Linked DNA regions of Arabidopsis thaliana. The protein of the gene in region 1 purifies or fractionates together with the protein of each later gene. This does not show direct contact. Each region holds a gene or a part of one and is shown on either strand. Other genes may lie near its edges.

What was found.
Region 2: the proteins of CYCB3;1 (region 1) and AAP7 purify together in Arabidopsis thaliana (affinity purification with mass spectrometry, with the first as the bait; one large-scale study listed by BioGRID). This does not show direct contact.

What each region holds. Positions count from the first base shown.
Region 1 is NC_003070.9:5,581,848-5,589,209, forward strand, and holds CYCB3;1 (cyclin b3;1), read right to left. Parts: upstream 5,615-7,362; 5' UTR 5,545-5,614; coding exon 5,530-5,544; intron 5,224-5,529; coding exon 5,184-5,223; intron 5,104-5,183; coding exon 5,043-5,103; intron 4,947-5,042; coding exon 4,911-4,946; intron 4,769-4,910; coding exon 4,708-4,768; intron 4,615-4,707; coding exon 4,563-4,614; intron 4,477-4,562; coding exon 4,380-4,476; intron 4,225-4,379; coding exon 4,189-4,224; intron 3,999-4,188; coding exon 3,944-3,998; intron 3,711-3,943; coding exon 3,656-3,710; intron 3,565-3,655; coding exon 3,507-3,564; intron 3,254-3,506; coding exon 3,199-3,253; intron 3,083-3,198; coding exon 3,037-3,082; intron 2,937-3,036; coding exon 2,846-2,936; intron 2,603-2,845; coding exon 2,548-2,602; intron 2,336-2,547; coding exon 2,051-2,335; intron 1,973-2,050; coding exon 1,850-1,972; intron 1,722-1,849; coding exon 1,632-1,721; intron 1,543-1,631; coding exon 1,381-1,542; intron 1,302-1,380; and 8 more. Other genes in the region: AT1G16320 (plant/protein (DUF2358)), read left to right, coding at 1-85; ATKDSA2 (Aldolase superfamily protein), read right to left, coding at 6,276-6,332, 6,412-6,459, 6,539-6,586, 6,675-6,773, 6,876-6,920, 7,035-7,093, 7,217-7,301.
Region 2 is NC_003076.8:8,026,594-8,031,392, reverse strand, and holds AAP7 (amino acid permease 7), read right to left. Parts: upstream 3,156-4,799; 5' UTR 2,933-3,155; coding exon 2,851-2,932; intron 2,772-2,850; coding exon 2,535-2,771; intron 2,346-2,534; coding exon 2,252-2,345; intron 2,148-2,251; coding exon 1,927-2,147; coding exon of another isoform or gene 1,871-1,926; exon of another isoform or gene 1,829-1,870; coding exon 1,695-1,828; coding exon of another isoform or gene 1,656-1,694; exon of another isoform or gene 1,573-1,655; coding exon 1,345-1,572; coding exon of another isoform or gene 1,255-1,344; exon of another isoform or gene 1,230-1,254; intron 1,071-1,229; coding exon 663-1,070; 3' UTR 505-662; downstream 1-504. Other genes in the region: AT5G23820 (MD-2-related lipid recognition domain-containing protein), read right to left, coding at 1-7. UniProt on the Arabidopsis thaliana protein: Amino acid-proton symporter. Stereospecific transporter with a broad specificity for neutral amino acids.

The DNA.
Region 1 (7,362 bases):
GGTTAAGTTTTATCAAGCGGTGAGAGGGACATTGGAGACAGAGGATATGTTTGTAACAACAGACTGTTTAGTCACATGCTCATAGTGGAAGTAGAGTTGCGATATAGACACTCAAGGTCACACTTCTCAGGTGTATATAGTTTTTACATTAAAGGTTTCATATATATGAGTAGATCTGGTTGACTTAATTCTTGGGAAACCTAGAATTGTTATGTTGTTCCAAAAGCTTTATACAACGTTATCAATACAATGGAGTTTTGTCTTTATGATTATGTGAAACAGTAATATTACTCAGTGGTTAAACACACAGAAAAAAACCAACACACCTAATCAAAGAATCACCATTAGCCTGAGTTTTCTTAATATCCGGCTAGAGTCCATGTAAATGTTGTATCTCCCTGCAATTTCCGAGTAAGGATGAACAAGATCAGTTCAATAGAGAAAACGAATAGAAAACAAGTTTTCAGCTCATGAACATATGTATATATATACACACCTTTAGACTGGTCAGGCTTGCCATGACTTTTGTATAGTTCAACTTAGAGAGGGAGTTTATCTAAGGGCTTCAAGACTGCGACGTTACTGCGATCTGGATTTATGTACTTCTCATAAGTGACCCTCAGGTTTCCTGTTTTAGCAGCTTTGTGAAACCTTAAGATCATGTCAGAACAGTCCCTGTGATAAGAAAATTGTGTAAGATTAGTTAAAGAATGTAACTAGTCTAAGTGATCTACAAGGAGGAGTTATTAATGAGATTTTAACTTACTTCATCTGGGAGACATTGTAGTGGGTATGGTTGTTTAGGAGCGAGGTCCAAACTGGAGTCATATGCAAAGTGCATCTGGCAACATAAATGGCTGATGCACATAGCAGTGATGGCTTATACTTCAAAGCTTCGTACTCAACCAAACACAACTCGATAAGGTAGAAGGCGAGTTGTTCAAGCTGATAATAGAAATAATACTATTCAATGTCTACCTATTCAAACAGAAGAATTTTATAGGTTATTAAAGCATACAATGCAGGTTTTTCGCGTACCTTCTTATTGGATTGAGCAGCTTTTAGGAACCTCAACATGAAAACATAGGGGGTGGGTGCATTCAAACGGAACTTTAACTGTTTAAGCATACTTCTCTCCTGAAAATGAAAATTAGGATAAGTTACAAGGGGAAATACGCAAATGACCCGTATTTTTTATAAAGAATAGAGAAGTTTGACTATAAACAGAGTTCATTATATACCATTCCCAAGATTTGTTCTCTGGTGTATGATTCTGCGGATATGCTGATCAAGTCTTTGATCTGCACATGGACAAAGAAAATAGATTGTAAATGTCTATTTTCAGGAGAGGTATTAGCTTTCAGGATAAATGTCTCTTACCCTAGGATGCCAGTAGTCCTCATATTTAGATGCCAATAAGAGTGCAGTAAGACCTATCAATTGCATCTCATTTTTATGTATTGGAACTTGGGAGAGGTAACGGTCTAATAAGTCCATTGTCAGGTAAAGAGTCTCATGCATTAGATCAAATTTGAAATGAACCTGCAAACAATAAGTAAAACCTAAGTTTCCACAAGAAGAAGTAGGGATAATATCAAGTTGAAATGGAACCAAAAATATACTGCACTCACTTCGATAAGCCAGTTGATCAAAATTCCACGCGTAACTGGACTGACTTCTGCATGAGCTGACAAGTAATGTCCCAAAGCTGGATTTAATGCCTGCAACAATATTTCACGTTAAGCTACTGGAAAGCTAAAATTCAATATTCAAACTGCAAGTAAAATTACCAAATTAGTAATATTAGAGAAAAAGAAGTTGATGTATGTGGAAGAAATAAGTGGATTACTTCTGCAGTCCAATAGAACTGATATATGTCATCCACATATTCTGCAACTTCCAGCTGATTGGATTCATCATCAATGCTTGGAAGTTTTTCTGGCTCTGTGGTTTCACCATTTTTCTCATCGAACTGCAAGTAAAATTACCAAATTAGTAATATTAGAGAAAAAGAAGTCACAAGAAACAACACAACTAATAAATTACGAACCTTTGATCCATTCACTAGTAGAGATGTGAAAGACTTTCTACGTTTTGATTTTGGCTTCGCTGTAACATCCAACACTTTTGTTGTTGGGTCTTTGTTTCCACTAGATGAACTCTCTCCTTGAGTGTCTTCTTCAAGACATTTTGTCTCAACCTTTTCCGGAAGTGACAGTGTTGAGGCAACTGCAGAAGAAGGGATTGAAGAAATAGATCTTGATTTACTTCTACCCACTGGGGGCTTCTTAAGAGAGCTACGGTTTTGTAGCGAAGTCTTTACAGTTGTCTGGATCTTGAGTAAGAGAGAAAGCTTATCACATATTTAATAAACAAAAATCCTCAATACGACTGTAACTATTGCCCGATGAAATGATCACGAGCAAGAAAACAAAGATGAAAGAAGAATGATTTAGCAGTTCAATGATGATAATAGCCAAGGCCAAATAGTGTGGCTTTAATGGAAATGAATCACTTGCATAGATATGAAAGGACTAAGGTGTATACCTTGATAGATTTCCTTACGAAACGGACGTTATTCTTACTCTGCTTATTGCCGTCCCTAAGCATGTAAAGAAAATAAACTTAGCAACTTGGGATATAAGTTGCTGCCCACAAACGATAAAAGAAAAAAATAATCTGATTCTCCAAGATGTAAAAAAGTCGTGCATTGATAATGAAAATGCAAACAAGGATTCTGTGAATGTAGACAATTTGATAGTTGGAAGTAGACATGTGTGATACGCAAGAGAGAAACAACTTCACTTATTTAATGATGATATCAGAATTAAGCATATTTACTTACGATTGTATAGAGCCGACACTTGTTCGAGTTTTCCAAGTATAGGTTCCGGCACTGCTTAGCTGCGGGACAGCTTGGTTGCTGGCTTTACTGGCTGAAACAATGCAACATCAATCATATCAGATACTGACCAATCAAGTTACAATTTTAACATACACATTTCCATCAGAAGTTAGAAAAGAAATCCATGTTACCTAGACCCTGACCCAATTGTTTCGAATTTAAGCCTGAGACATTGAACTGCGCCAAGATAGTAAATACACAATTAGTAAACTGTCCTAAATGATTAGCCTCACGAGTTGTTGTACAGCCAGTTGTAAGAAAAAAAAACAATCTCAAATTAGATTGATAACAACCTTTTTTAAGCTCTTATCTGTGAGGCTTGTTCTCTTTAAAGTTGGTAAGGACTTTCTGCAAGCACAAATCAATCAAGGAAGTTAATCAATGAATGATGTAAATCATTCTCAGCAGATACTAAAGAAAATGGCTGGTAGATTAATAATGTTTTCGCTATGGTGAATGAACAACAGGTTACTTGATGAGAGCTTTGACATATTGATAGGTAATGTAGGGCATAAACAAGATATCTATTTTTTCTTGGAAAATTCTTCAAACTAGTCTGGAAGCGGATAATCTATTATGCATGAGATTAGCACGAAGGTACCTTGTTCCACCAGCCGTTGATCCAAGGCTCAAGGTTTTGTTTTTGATGAATTTCTGACCTAAAATATGATTTAAAACAAAGTTAAGATAAATGGCAAAGATCAACTAAAGCCATAGCCATGAAAACAAACATAACATTTAGGAAGTCACCTGTCTTGTAAAGGTTATTGTTCCCAAGTTCGGTGGTTCTTTTACTCACATTCTCCTATATCAGAAAAAAGAAACAATCTAGAATCAAGGCTTGCAAGAAAAATGAAGGAAATGGCCATCAAGTAGTTTAACTGATGAATCTCATGCTTTAAGACACAAAGTTTGTAATATTTGCTGTAACTCATATGCTGATGAATTGTGATATTCTGGTTAATCTCATAACTGCATCTAGTCATAGTAATTTGCAAGTATACAACATGATATAGTTTGCCAATACGCTTGCTATACCTTAGTAGACTTTTTCACTGAGATATTATTAGCTCTGGTTGGACCAACTGAGACCCTACACATGGAAAGGTCAATTAGCCCAGCATCATCAACTCATTTTCAAACATCAGATATTATATACATGGAACTGTACGGATTCGTTCTGTAAAAGCTCATCAACTGAGATGAACGACTAATCCTAAGTAGAGATGTAACGTATTGCATGTATATGATGTGTATAGCAGCAGCTAACGATTACTGCATACCTTTTCGGATTTGCCATTTTTACACCTTTCCATTTCCTGCATTGTTGCATGTTCAGTAGAATAGTTTTAGAACAGAATGCAAATCAGTACAATAAAAACTAACTAACTGATTAAGAAGTGAAGACCATGGCAGTTAATAACTCTTTTCCATGAGGGATAACAAAAAACCCTTAAAAGTTAAGCAATTTTACATGGTACTGCTGCCACAAAGCGTTGGAATCCTTAGAGTGTTCCCACCAAGATTACTTAAATCAGCCAAAGCTTTTCTTGTGACTTTAGTGTATTCCTCTGAAAAGGAGACAAATATCGGAGTTAACTTTCAAAACTAGGTCCCAAAAATGTAATGAAGATATACTCTCCCTTATAAAGCTTACCCCAGTTTTCAATACTGCTTTTGCCCTTTCCTGTGATTCTCGAATTTTCCTTCTTTTTGAATCAAAACAAAAGTGCATTAACATGTGAATAAGTGCATAACATCCAACACTTGTATGAACTCAGAAACAGGGAAAAGGGATAAACCTTCATATTGTTTGTGTTAGAAGTTGCTCCTAAACCATTGCTAATTGTTACAGACTTTCTCCTAAACAATGTAAAAGCAGAAGATTAATTCTTACAGATTCGTAAAGTCAATTTCTTCATGATCAAGCCAAAATATGCACCAGTAAATACATCATGTAATGGATGGAAGAAAACAGAATAATTGTAAAAACAGCAACACAAACCTCAAAGGAATACGAGTCTTCTTCTGTGAAGTACCTCTGCAGAAAGAAATAGGTACAGTTTAATCCAGATTAACAAATAGCAACAGTTTAATTCAGATTACTGAAAGATGAATTGCAAGAGGATCCACTTACATTGTACTGGCTGGATCAGTTTTCTGATTATCGGAGAAGATTTTGAAACTCCTAGTACTCACTGTTTAACATGTAAACATTTTTTTAGAACTGAATAAGGTTCACCAAGTAACTAACAGAGGATAAAATAGTCTCTCTTACCTCGATTTCCAAGAATATCATCTCTACTTAGTCGTGGTGCCTACAAAAGTAAATCAATCGTAAGTGAAATAAGAAGCAAGGCTTTATCCCCTGTGATTTTAAGATGAAGTTGATCTAACTAACCAAATCTGAGAGTAGTAAGCTACTGAAAACTCAAGAATCTAATCTTGTGATAAAAGAAGCAGAAATAGGCAAATACCATAATATCTTCTATCTTCGAAACAATTCAAGATCCCTAATCCTAATCTCGTTTAAAATAACAAGCCCTCGCTCGAATCTCAAATTCATCTGCGATGAACGTAGTAACCCTAACTCGTTTTTTGAAGAAATTAGGATTTTCACGTACCTTCGCGAACGCCATTTTCCTCAAATCTCCAGATCTTCTGCTTTGTTCTTCCCAGAAACCCAATTGCAAGAGAGTTCTACCGTTGCAAATTCCCAAAAGTAGCGACGCCGCTTCTCAAGTATTTGAAATTGAGCCTATCTAATTTACGATTATGCCCCTTCTGTTGCTACGTATTTTCTGCTTTTGTTTGGGCTTTGTTTACCCAAGCCCATTTTAATCCAACCTAGAGCTTGTCAGACCCATCATTCTATTATTCTGAAAAAATAAAATAAAAGAACTTCACTGTTTGCATTTTGTTAGTTTGTTCAGTTTCTCAGAGGATACTGTGCAAGTGCAACAACATAAATTTCAAGTCCATAGAAAGAAACCATGCATTATGTAAAAAAACTTAAAGAAAAGACTACAAGATCAGGTATAGAAAAAGTGCTTTATGTTGACATAAAAAGTAATTTAACTTCTAATTGTTGTTTATTTCTTCAAAAATAAAACAAACTTAGACATTTGATATCATATCAGGCAACATCAGCTACTTTGAATATACATTAGTCACTGTGGAGAGATGTGTTTTGCCAAATAATGCTTATTGCTCCGACAAGATTGAAATATTATCAAGAAGATGTAGTTGCACCCAAAGTGACGTACGGACCTGCAAAATGCAGAAAAGAATCAGCAAATGATGAGAAAACAAACAAAGAGAGTTCAACATTTCTATCTTGATTTATCGGTCACTAACACACCCTTTGATTCTAATCACGATAAGGCGTGAGATCGATTTGGAACTGTTGTTTCCCCTTTGTGACACTCTGCAAAGATGTTATAAGAGCCAATGTTACAACAAAAGGAAACAGATTAAATTTTTATGGGATAATGTAAAGGGCTTACCGCGATTGCAATGAGCTCTTCTAGCAGTTCTTCTAGATGACGCAGAGGCTGAACGGGAAGAAAAACGATGATCAAGAATGCATTGTGTTAGACTAATGGATATGGTCTGAAAAAAAGTAAAACTCACCCATTGTGTTGGACCATCGACCGGTGCATTTAAAGGATCATCATGCACCTAATTCACCGGAAAATGAACCAAGTTTCATAACCAAATTGGAACAAAGATTCAGCGAGATGACAAAACTTGCGATAAAGTTGGATACCTCCATGAAAATTCCATCGACACCAACAGCTACGGCGGTTCTTGCTATGCATGGTATTAATTCGCGAAGGCCACCACTAGCAACACCCCCACCATCTAACTATATAAACAAGGTATGTTTGAGTTTAGACCAATTCTGATTTAGCTTTAAAACACCAAGCATTTTCTTAAATTACTCAGAGCATCGTTCTAATGACCATACCTTCTTGCCTGCAGGTTGTTGTAATGAATGAGTTATATCAGCAACCTGAAGCCAATAACTAAATTATATTATACGAGTGTCAAAACATCAAAGTATAAAGCCAAAGCCAAGATATAAACTCCCACAACAAGAAAAGAACAAGAAGCAATATTAACTCACAACGGGACAATCAGCTTCCCTCATCCATTCCAAATTTCGTGGATCTACTATTAAATCATCTGAGGAACAAAATTAAAATGTAAGGACACTCAGGAGTTATATCCAGTGTCTTTTAGTCTATTTTAGTCTCTATTTGCAAAAAAATTGGTGAATTCTATTGACACAAAGAACAGTTAACTTACTGTATCCAAACATGGTTCCTCTTTCACAAACCATCACATTTGGATTCCCTGCGAGTCTAACCTTCTCAGCCGAGTTTCTCATGACCTTAAAATGGATATACATGAAATCAGTCACTACAATATACCAGGGAACAAAAGTTTGTACA
Region 2 (4,799 bases), on another chromosome or scaffold:
TCGCCATGGATCTTCAAAGCTCTTTAAAAAGATTTTTTTTCTTCTTCAAGTTTGACTAAACAAGTTTGTAATACATGTTATGTTTCTATGCAAGTCTGCTATTTTATAATCTACAGAATAAGTAGATAGGATCATAACTAGCATATGATGCTCTGGACCAGGGCCTGCATAAATTATATATATCCATATATATTAAACCCCACGTTTTTGTACACGAGAAGGTTATAATATTAGTGTTTAATGTCAATTATTTACTACCTTACCTACCGCCTTTGTTCATTCACAATCACGTGGATTCATTTCGGAGAGACCGATCCGTCTCGAAGAACTATATTATTTATAAACACATTAAATTTGATTTTAAACTTTTTTTTTTTTGACAAAACCACATGTTCTATAACGACAACACGAATTGACTACCTTACCGAAAAAAAATAATTTTGGGGCCTTGATTGAATCTTTTCCAATAATTTTGGGGCCTTGATTGTTTATGGTAGTTTTAAAATATAAAACATGGTAGGAAATTCGTCTTTAGAGTTAATTCATTAAAAATCAAAATTTCATACTAAATACGAATTACATTTACATAAGTTGTAACGGATCTCACATTTATTTATCAATTAACTAGAGTAGGATCGCTACATCACATCGGCATTGGCTAATCATCCGAATTTAGCTCCAACAAGTCCATAAATAGATCCAACAAGAGACAAGAGACAGACGAGCAAGCACACAAAGCTGAAACCTCTAAGAAGAAGCCATGGTCGCGTCCAACTTCGGATTTTCTTCTGCAATATACACATCTCCACAGGAAAATACACTGCCAGAGGCCAAAATGCAAGTGCCCCCACCACTCCTAATACTTCATTGAAGTAGGGAAACATCACTGCCACTCCCGTTGTGATCAACACGTACATCGTTCTCAAACACATCCTCATTGGGTTCAATCTCACCGTCTCTCCTCGCAACAATGGCAGTTTGAATCCGTAGAATCTGGCGATAAACTTATTTTCCGGATATTTCTTGGTTAGCGATCTCTCCGCAGCCGCGAAAATTGGTTGACTGTATACCTAAAATGTCATTCTATATTTTAGAAATGTATGGAAGATTTTAGATCTCGATTGTTTGTTTGCTTTAGAACATGTTACATAACAACTTAAAACCTCTTTTGGTATTTTACACAATTTATTTTGTGAATCATAAACGCAAACGTTAAAATGACACATAGTAACCAAAAATATTTTGTCTAAAATACTAGAATGGTAGTTTGTTTTCTAAAATGTGAACGAAAACATAAAAATCAACGAGCATGTTGGTTAGATGGGCAAGGGGTTTCTGAGATACCTGATATCCACCAACTAAATGAAGAACAATGCAAGCGTTGGCGAAATCGACGAGCCAGAATGGCTCATAGAAGCCGAAACCGGTCAAGAGATTTCCCGGGGTGGAATCTCCAAAGGCCGCGTACCCAAAACATCCACAACAGAAGAAGAAGAATGTTTGGATGAATACCGCAACCGTCGAGGCTTTCTTCATCGTTTGCTTCTCTGCCGGTGGTGATCTCAATGTGTCCTGTCCTTAATTTTCATTTAACACACGTAAAAAAAAGGTTTCTTGATCTCTAAGAGTAGTGCTATTTAATGTGTTAATTAATCTTACTTGGCGTCATTATGCATGAAGGTAAAATTATTTACCTGAATCTCAAGAAGTATGATTGAGAAAGGATATGAAAAGGCAATGTTCCCAAGAGCTTGGAACACTATCCATACCTTTTCACCTCTGTTTTCTGCTGGTATTCCCCTTATACTTCCCTCAATTTTTCGATTCTCTTCATTTCAAAAACAAAGTTATTTGATTGTCTTCCCCCATCTCAAAATAATTTTATACTCAAAATCAAAATTGACAAAGAAAAAGTAATATCTATACCTATGATTTTGCCAAGGGCGAGGCCGATGCCAATGAACGAGTAAGTAAAAGACATAATAGCGGCGACAAGAGAGAGCCATACCATGTTGTGGAAATTAGGTATTTGTGACATAAATATCTGAGTCAAACCAAACAAAACCATGAAGTAGTTGTTGTTGTCTCCATATGAACATGTTGCATTGTGTCCATTTCTATGATAACAATTCGATTTCATAATTGCTCTGTAATGAAATGAAAAACAAAAAACTCTACGTATCAATATTGGAAAATAAAAAATTCCTAGGAAATAGAACAACAGTTGAAATATGTTTACATATGTTATTACCTACTGCATGTAGCTATAACAATGGTATAAGCAATGCCACAACCAAAAAGGGAAATGTATACAACGACTCCACATACAATTTCATTCTTCTTCCCTGCAAATCAAAATTACCCATATGAATAAATTTAAATTACAACTAAAATAAAAATTTAGTTTTCCGGACCAAATTAGTTTGTTATTTCTTATTGCATGTATTTAAACTCGTGATTTTGAAAACTTTTCCATTAGGTGGCAAGATAGTACGCTAGTTGAACTTATCGGAAATATTAGTTTTGAAGTTGACCTAAATACAATTTAACGGCTTGAGAGTAAGAATTGAGTCGGAGGGGACCGTTGTTAGGATCAGGGAAACGGTAGCAATCGGAAAGAAGAAAAGCAGAGAGAAGTGTGACCCCGGCGAAGGCTATAAGGGCGGCCGGACCAGCGATCCAGCCGAGCTCCGCCGTGGCCCAAGCCAACGACAACACTCCAGCTCCTATCACTCCTGTTATTATATGTGCCACCGCCGTCCATAACGTTCCTTTACAAGAAAACACAACGTAATAATTATTTGATTGATTACTAATGATTATGGATTATATGATTACTAACAGATTTACCTGTTCTTGCAGTAACTGAATCATGAAGTTGAAGCTCGGTTGGTGTTATAACTCGAGACTCGTCATCTTCTTTAATGTCCATTTTTTGTGTGGACGAAGATGAAGTTATTTGGTAATGTGTATGTTTGTTTCTATTTATGCGGGTACACGATGTGAATTCATTTTATCTTACCGAGGAATGAAACCTTGTCTAAGTGAATTGGAAGACAGATGGTTGACTACTACTATTATTGTAAATTTACGTGTACCAATTTATAAAACTCGTGTTCATATGAATAATATAAGATATTTTAGTCGATGGTCACATCTACCTTAAGTCATTTGATTGGAATGGTTGATGGTCCATTTTTTTATTGCTTAGAATACGAAAAGAATAATGTGCTTATCTCATTACTTTTAATTTTGTCCATCACCTTTAACTTTATATTTTTAAACCAAAAAGAAAAACTTTTGTAATGACATATTTTAAAAGGAAAATTTTCTTTTATTAGTAATGTGTAATTGGAAATCCCATCTCAGCATAATGTATACATTAAGCATTTTTCTGGCAACAAAGAAAATTAAGAAGAAAAAAAAATTAAGGAAAATAAGTACTACTCAATTCAATTTCATCCCACGAAATATGAAATTGTATGATTTTATATGTGCTCGTCTATGTACGCTTATTGATCAACTTTAACAGGATTTGACAAGGCCACGTCTAGTATACATTAATTCAAACTTTTAGATTTTTTCTTTTACCCAACTTTTAAAAAGTTAATACATATGAATATAGATACATTTTTCTGCAAAGTAAACAAGAGAAGTATGCAGTTTCGCTCGTTGTCGATCACCATACATTAATTCAAACGTACGTTCAAATATGAATATAGATGCATTTATCCATCACCAACGTTCACATTCCTAATACATGGCCATATGACCTGAGAGAAAATTTAAACTAAGTACTCAAGAAAGAAAGCTCTAAAACAATAGAACCGAATATTATAATTCAAAAGACTTGTTTTGTTAAGAGCACTCCCAGTGGTGATTCTTAAACGTTTCTTAGCTAAAAATCCTTAAGAAATATGCAATAAATAAATCAATAATGTGATATAAACTAAGAAATGCACCTTAATTAGCTTAGAGTTTTTTGTGAGGTTAAGGTGCGCTGACGTGTCAAATTCTCATTGGTAATTTTTTTTTTGTTATGATGTATGTTTACAATCAAGTTTAAATCTAATCGTTATTCAAGTTTTTGCGTTGTATTTTTTTTTCTTTTTCGTTTCTGTTATAATGTATGTTTACAAATTTCATATTTATTTTAATTATAAAGTTTAATCAAATACATAATTTCAAAAAAAAAACTTTAATTTTTAAGAAACTCACTTAAAATTTTTACCATTGGACAATAATAATACTAAGGACTTATCAATAATTCTTAACTTTCAAATTATCAAAATTTAATATTAAAAATGTTAACGACTCCAATTAAGAGTCTAACCAATGGGCATGCTCTTACTACCTATATGAACATATTCGAGAGACAAATTACAGAGAAGAAGTGGGACAAAACATTTTTTGGGAATTTTCTCATGCGCACACATATATATCTATTAATCTATATGAGCATGTTCAGATTTTGGCCCCTAGATGACATGCCAAAAGAAAGAATCAACCCTAGCCACCGAATAGAAGAAACCTAAATCACAAATATCAATGTTATAATAGGAGACATATATCTATTAATCTATATGAACATGTTCAGATTTCGGCCTGAGATTTTTTTTTGGTTTAATACATGAAAATTGCTTCTATAAACAAACATGGACGGATCCAATACTTTATTTAGGTTAGAGCATATGAATATACAAAATATATGGGCTAGACGCATTTAAATGAACTAACACTAATTCTTTAAAGGGAAAACAATAGTTGGGAAGACTAGACCACATAGGTCTTGCTTTACG